Linked DNA regions of Callithrix jacchus. The protein of the gene in region 2 interacts with the protein of the main gene of each other region in a biochemical or structural test. Links are inferred from orthologs where the notes say so. Each region holds a gene or a part of one and is shown on either strand. Other genes may lie near its edges.

The links.
Region 1: the proteins of SH3RF1 (region 2) and AKT2 form a complex in vitro, tested with the Homo sapiens proteins (2 studies listed by BioGRID and IntAct, with this or other methods). The link is inferred for Callithrix jacchus from reciprocal best matches to the Homo sapiens genes SH3RF1 and AKT2.

Annotation. Positions count from the first base shown.
Region 1 is NC_133523.1:35,802,866-35,806,362, forward strand, and holds part of AKT2 (RAC-beta serine/threonine-protein kinase), read right to left. Parts: intron 3,249-3,497; exon of another isoform or gene 3,137-3,248; intron 2,775-3,136; coding exon 2,652-2,774; intron 1,375-2,651; coding exon 1,246-1,374; intron 1,189-1,245; exon of another isoform or gene 1,130-1,188; coding exon 915-1,129; exon of another isoform or gene 846-914; intron 419-845; exon of another isoform or gene 395-418; coding exon 307-394; intron 191-306; coding exon 88-190; intron 1-87. UniProt on the Homo sapiens protein: Serine/threonine kinase closely related to AKT1 and AKT3. All 3 enzymes, AKT1, AKT2 and AKT3, are collectively known as AKT kinase.
Region 2 is NC_133504.1:22,144,344-22,148,161, reverse strand, and holds part of SH3RF1 (E3 ubiquitin-protein ligase SH3RF1), read right to left. Parts: intron 3,355-3,818; coding exon 3,079-3,354; intron 2,265-3,078; coding exon 2,169-2,264; intron 1-2,168. UniProt on the Homo sapiens protein: Has E3 ubiquitin-protein ligase activity. In the absence of an external substrate, it can catalyze self-ubiquitination. Stimulates ubiquitination of potassium channel KCNJ1, enhancing it's dynamin-dependent and clathrin-independent endocytosis.

The DNA.
Region 1 (3,497 bases), on a different chromosome or scaffold from region 2:
GCCCTCCTCAAGAAGTGGGTTAAAAGCAGATCCCATCCCTCCACCACTGGGCCAGGCATACCGCGGCAGGGTGCCCCAGGCACTCACAGCGGTCGGGGGGTGTGATTGTGATGGACTGGGCGGTGAATTCATCATCGAAGTACCGTGTGTCGACCTCAGACGTGACCTGAGGTTTGAAGGGTGGCAGGAGCTACGGAGGAGAGGAGCCCGGGCTCAGGGACCCTGATGCCAGGAGGCCTCAACCAAGGTCACCATGGGTGGGCCAGGCCCCTGAGGGTCCTGCTGGGGCTGGCAGTGGGGACTCACCTTCTTCTGGACCACGTCCTGCCAGTTGATGCTGAGGAAGAACCTGTGCTCCATGACCTCCTGGGCATCGCTGGGCCCCCCACCAAGCCTGGGCAGAGATGGCTGTCAGCACCTGCCTCCCAGAGCAGCTGGGTTCAGGGAGACAGGCTTTCGGCGCAGGCAGGCCCTGCATGGCCTTTATGATTCTGTCTTGACCACAAACCACCACTTCACAGAGGAGGAAACTGAGGCTCAGGGAGGGAGCTCACGTGCCCAGGGTCAGCCTGACCTCACCCTGAGTCCAGAAAGGGAGTTAGTAGGGCAGTCTTGGTTCCATTCTGGCTCTGCCACATACAGCTTGGTGGCCCCAGCCAGGCCCAGGGTTGCCCTGTTCCTCAATGTCCCCATAAACCAAAGCAGTGTCAAGGATGGCCTGCCCCGCCCTGGGAAAGCTCTCCCTAAGGGCCAGTGCATTTTCAGGGGCTGTGTGGGGACAACACACACTGTGACATCACAAGCGAGTGCCTTTGTGGACACAGCCCCCTCTGGGCTGCAGGGACAGTGGCAGCAGCCGGGGCCAGGCCAGGCTGGGCTGGGCTGGGCTGGGCAGGGCCGACACCAGCCCTCACCTCTGCTTGGGGTCCTTCTTAAGCAGCCCGGCAAGCAGGGACTTGGCCTCGGGGCTGAGCGTGCGAGGGAAGCGGATCTCCTCCATGAGGATGAGCTCGAAGAGGCGCTCGTGGTCCTGGTTGTAGAAGGGCAGGCGGCCACACATCATCTCGTACATGACCACGCCCAGCCCCCACCAGTCTACTGCCCGGCCATAGTCGTTGTCCTCCAGCACCTGAGGATGGAGGGGAAATGAGGGGCTGGGCCCATGGCCCTGAGGCTGGAAACACACAGGTCTGGGATTCCCCTACCCTTGGTCTCACATGTTCCCACACCCCTAACCTCACACACCTCAGGCGCCAGGTACTCCGGAGTCCCACAGAAGGTTTTCATGGTGGCCCCATCACTGATGCCTTCTTTGCAGAGGCCGAAGTCAGTGATCTTGATGTGGCCGTCTTTGTCCAGCATGAGGTTTTCCAGCTGTTGGAAAAGTCAACGTATCTCACGCACATGCTCCCAGGGCTTCCTGCCGCCCCAGCCTTTCCTTTCAGGGGAAGATGCCAGGGGGTCCTAGATATCAACTCTCTCAGGCCAGGCTGGGCCCAGCACACACAGCCTCAACCTCTGAGGCTCAAAGAGAGGCCAGACCCAACCTGCTCCGCCCCCTGGCCCACCCTCAAGGTACTTGAGAACAGCTGGGCAGGGAGATCCGGGAGCCAGGCCCTGTCTACCCACTGCCCCACTGAGAGCTACAGGGTCTTAAGTTCGAACACGGGGGTGGGCACTAGCTTTCTTTTTGAGACGGAGTTTCGCTCTTGTTACCCAGGCTGGAGTGCAATGGCGTGATCTCAGCTCACCACAGCCTCCGCCTCCTAGGTTCAAGCAATTCTCCTGCCTCAGCCTCCCGAGTAGCTGGGACTACAGGCGCGCACCACCGTGCCCAGCTAATTTTTTGTATTTTTAGTAGAGACAGGGATGACCAGGATGGTCTCGATCTCTTGACCTTGTGATCCACCCGCCTCGGCCTCCCAAAGTGCTGGGATTATAGGCGTGAGCCACCGCTTTCTTCTTTTTTTCTACACTTTTTGTCTTTTAATTATGAAATATGCAACCAGACAAAGTGGCTAACATCTGTAATCCCAGCACTTTGAGGGGGCTTAGGAAGCAGAATTGCTTGAGTCTAGGAGTCTGAGACCAGCCTGGGCAACACAGCAAGATCTCATCCCTATTTTATGTTTAAAAAAACAAGGCCGGGTGCAGTGGCTCATGCCTGTAATCCCAGCACTTTGGGAGGCTGAGGCAGGTGGATCACCTGAGGTCAGGAGTTCGAGACCAGCCTGACCAATATGGAGAAACCCCGTCTCTATTAAAAATACAAAATTAGCTGGGTGTGGTAGGGTGCACCTCTAATCCCAGCTACTCAGGAGGCTGAGCAGGACAATCCCTTGAACCCAGGAGGTGGAGGTTGCAGTGAGCTGAGATCGCACCACTGCACTCAACCAGAGGGAGACTCCTTCTCAGATAAATAAATAAAAATAAAGTAGGGACTGTGCCAGTTCACACCCCACTAGCAGCCTAGGAGGGCTCATGGAGACCTGGAAAGGTCCCTACCTTGGGGCCACTTGCTATGGAACCACCACCCTGGACCTTGGTGGGGAGAGCTTGGCGAATGAGGGCAGAAGGCCTCGGCCCCACGTCCCTGGTGTGAGTCCCGTCTGCATGCCACGGGCCAGCCTGGTGCACACCCTGCCACTAACCTTGATGTCGCGGTACACCACGTCCCGAGAGTGCAAATACTCAAGAGCTGAGACGATCTCTGCACCATAAAACCGAGCCCGCTCCTCTGTGAAGACATGCTCCCGGGACAGGTGGAAGAACAGCTACGGGAGAAAGGGGTGGGGAGAGGAGGTCAGGCCACCACCCACTCACTTGCCCTCAGCTTCCCAGCCCCCTGCCCTAGCCCAGTGATGCGGTGACACCTCCATCATGAACCAGCAAGTGACAGCCAGAGAGACCAAGCAAGGCACAGAGCAGAAGCAGCTCACAAGTGACACAGAGCTAGGCGTGAAGGGCTAGGGTCTGCCAGGAGGCACCCACGAGAGGGTATGGGAGGGACAGCCCGAGGCAGCAGAGGAGGGAGGCCGGCACAGAGGGAAAGAGAAGTGCACGTCATGACCAAGTGACAACAGGCCATGGGCAAGCCCAGATCAGATGGGTGAGCAAACCACCTATCCCAATGCAGGCGTGACATCCGCTGCACTGAGAAGAGTGGGTGACAGAGTGAGGTGACCTTGTGATAGGGAGTGGAGCGGCTGCGTAAATCCACTTCGGGAGGACATGGGAACAGAGAGCTGGTAAGCTTTGACCCTTGGGGACTTTCTCTAGGGCCTTTAAGACCATCCTTCCCAGTGCTGTCGGCCAGCCACCCTGCAGCCCTCTTCACACCTCTCTGGACTGGTTTGGCCCCTGACCTATCCACTCACTAGCTGTGTGAACTTGGGTGAGCCACTGAACCTCTCTGAGCCTCAGTAACCATCCCACCCCCCAAATGAAGATGACGCCACCTGCCTCAAGGGAGGGGGCACAAGATGACATTCAGGAAA
Region 2 (3,818 bases):
TACGAATAGGTTTACAGAGCTAGAGACAGATCATTACTCAAGAAAAAGCCAGTTTTTTATTCCTATAGTTTGCTTTACCACAGCTAAGAATGCCCTGTAAGACAATCTACTTTACTGAAATACTTGAATTTCAGTAGGTTACCATTGAAATCTGCCTCCACTTTATTGCCCTAAGGGCTAAACCAGGTGCCACTAATCCCTAGATACTTTGCTCCCTCTACCAGGAAGTTCAATTCTTGATGGCTTGACATCAAAGAAATGTTCATAGGCTCTTAAAGATAGACAATTTGTTTACCACATCTCAAATGGCAAGATACTGGTTCAAGTGAGGAAAATGCTCATTTGAAAGAAAAGCAGCAGAAGAATGAAAGTATTTTCCACTTGAGCAGAAGTTTATCTTTCCAACTTAAGTCAGAGGAAATAATCCTAATGAGTCAAGTGACTTGAAATGACTCTGGACTTGCCACGGGTGGATCTTTTACGCTTATCTGCACAATTCCGTACCTGCCCAATAACAAAAATATAGTAATCCCTTTTCATGCATCACAAATCAAGTATCAGCATGTAATATTGATAATACCCAACAAGTAAAGACAGGCTTTCATTACTAATCCTGTGCTTACCCATGCTCTTCAGTGTAACTGTTCAAAGACTTGGAAGTGCTTGTAGTTTTCCATGACCCACAGGATATGTATGTAATGTACAGGAAGGACTACCTGTGAGTTAAGGGTTATTTATTTTTTTTCTGTTGTTTGCTTTCAAAGGAGGAAAAATATTTCAATAAACAGGAACATCTGAAGGGTATGGATAAAATTCAAGGCTCATACATGGTCTGAATTACTTTCCCATGGATATACAGTAGTCAAACTGACTTTTTATGAAAACGTTGGCAATCTCACTGTCTATGGAGGAAATTGAGTGCTGGCTACAATGATACGATTTGTCATTTTAGTTTTCAAAATCATGCCAAAGCAAATGCCTCACATAAAAAGATGGAAAATAAGGGACAGTGGTTTTTCATTTTCACATGGCTAAGATACGTGCTTTGATATTTTAAACAACCGGATTACTTTCAATTCCCCAAACAATCTTGTGCTCTCTCTTACTTTTTGGCTTTTGCACATGCTGGTCTCCCTGTCTGGATGTTTCTCCTACCATAAAATACACTATTTCCATTTCTCTTGGTTAACCCCTACGTATCCATCACACAGATATTTATTAAGACCTCACTTCTTAAAGGAGCCTTCCAATGGCTTCAACTGACCTTGAATGGTTGTCTGGGCCACACTCCATTCTTTGAAAATGCCTTCAGTTTTATTTTCAGCAAGAAATTCTTATTCCCAAAGGACACTTAGTTTATGATACATGATGTAATGAAAGCCTACTATAAATTGTAACTCCTTTGTTCATGTTCAGCTGGTATTATTCATTATACATAAATAAAGCCATGTATGTACCCATGCAACAATCCTGCATGTTCTTTACATGTACCCCAGAACCTAAAATGCAATAATATATATATATATACATACATATATATATACACACACACACATATATATATATAAATAATAATAATATTACAACTATGTGACTTTACACATACTCTCTAAAAAGACTTTACTGTGTCAGGCTTGGCCACAAGCTTTCCAAGCAAAGCGGCGTAAAGAAGGGAGAGAGGGATAAGTAGCTGCTGGGATGGGATGGAGGCAGATTCACTGACTTGTTTAACAAATGTTTATTGAAGCCCTACTTTGTGAATCACTGTTCTGGTTCTGCTGACGCAGCAAGTAACAAAAAAAGTAAGTAAAAGATAAACAAATACACTTATCTCCATCTTACTTAAGAACTTTACCAACCCCACAAAACCCAGCAAATGGAATAAACAGGAAATAGTGTAGGTGACTGACAGTAAGCATACAGTGACATTTAACAAGACATAGGAATGCTTTTAGCAGGGAGAAAAAGTAAAGAGTTTCAAGTATCTCACTGTCTTCAATAACTGCAGGATAGGATGTAGGCATTCCTCCTGATCTGTCCAGTGATGTGTAACAGGGCATTCGTGGTGCTTTTTGTTGTAAGGACTTCTCAGTACTCAAATTGCATAATTAAGATTTATTTAGTAAGCTGAATAGTAACACAGCACAAGTTTCCACAGATTAATTTACCTCAACATATGAAATTGGAAATATTCCTATCTTGTCTGCCAGCATTCCTTCAGCCCAGTTTTCATCCACTCTTCGGATCACAGTCAGAACATCATCCTGAAGAAACAGCAGATCATTAATCTACCTGATCATTTAAGCTGTACAATTAAGCTTATCATTTAATTTTCCTTTTCAATGAAGAGACTCGTGTTTTAAAGAGTACATGAATAAAAATGCTATAATATATCTTTAGTTCATGAATTAAATGGTAGCTACCAGTCCACCTGGTATCCCTTCCAACTGTTGTAAAGCTATGAACTCTATGCAAGGGAGCTGGCTGCTAACTTTGTTAAGATCTACAAATGCAACCTCACATGCTACCTACCCTAGTCTCCTGAGTTTGTGTTTTAGATTGATTCTCAGATGCTTCTCATTTTCTGAAAATAAACCAAACGCTTACTCAAAGGCACCTCCTACTGCCTTTCTTCACAAAAATTGCAATATTCTTCTGAAAACTCCAAACCATTTTATCAATTCGGTAGATATAGTCTTGTATGCATTTAGCAAAGAAATCTACATATAAAATAAGAAAGTAATGACATTTCATTTTATTACTCATAATTCAGTACTTTAAAATCCCTGAGTGCTGCATACACTCTTTAAAGTGGCTTAGAAATAAATTCAGATTCTAAATATGAAAATGACACTACATAGAGCATCAACCAAAATAATCTTTCATATAAGAAATCTGTGCACAAAATTACCTTCCTTGTGACTTAAAGACTGCTTCTAGGCATTTTTAGAAGCACAGTGAAATAGTTCACACAAAACTATTGTACTGTTTTGCAAAAGGCAACACAAGCTATATTCCCGTGTATCTGAGTACAGAGGTAGAGCTGGCCCCCAGAAGACAAGCGCATCCGATCTTTACCTTTGCGAACGGAAGGCAATCTTTGTCTGCTTCCTTGTCTTTCACTTCAAAGTCATAAAGTGCTTTGCACTGAGGTGGGGGCTGAGGTAATGGTTTAATAATCTGCACAAAGTTGGTGGGGAAAAAGCCATGAATTCCATTGACTTCCCCATGGTACCAATTTTCATCCACTTGTCTTCGCAAAATGATGATGTCACCTTTGCTGAATTTCAGGTCTCCAGGCTCCTTGCCTTCATAATTGTATAATGCTTTGGCACATGGTAACTGAGGTATACCCTTTAAAAAGAAAAGAAGGATAAATTTTAATAAAATGATTGTCCTAAAATGTCGTTGAAAATATAGCTGCATTATCATTGTTTTAAAGTCAAGGTCAAATCCACACTGTACCCCTTGAAGAAAATCTCACACAAAAACCATAATATATGTGTTACCAATAAATAAAAAATACAAAACAATTGTCCATGGGGAAATAAGAATAGTACGACACCCATGCACTAACCATGATTTAACCTTCTATTCTTCCTTTATTTATTTCTTATTTTTTACATAAATTTTTTATTGTACTTTAGGTTCTGGGGTACACATGCAGTTCATGCAGGATTGTTGCATAGGTACATACGTGACAATGTGGTTTGCTGCTTCCATCCCCCATCACCTAACGTTTCTCCCCATGCTATCCCTCCCCAACCTCCCTACCTTCCACTGTCCCCTAGTACCCCTTAACTGTGTGTGATGCTCCC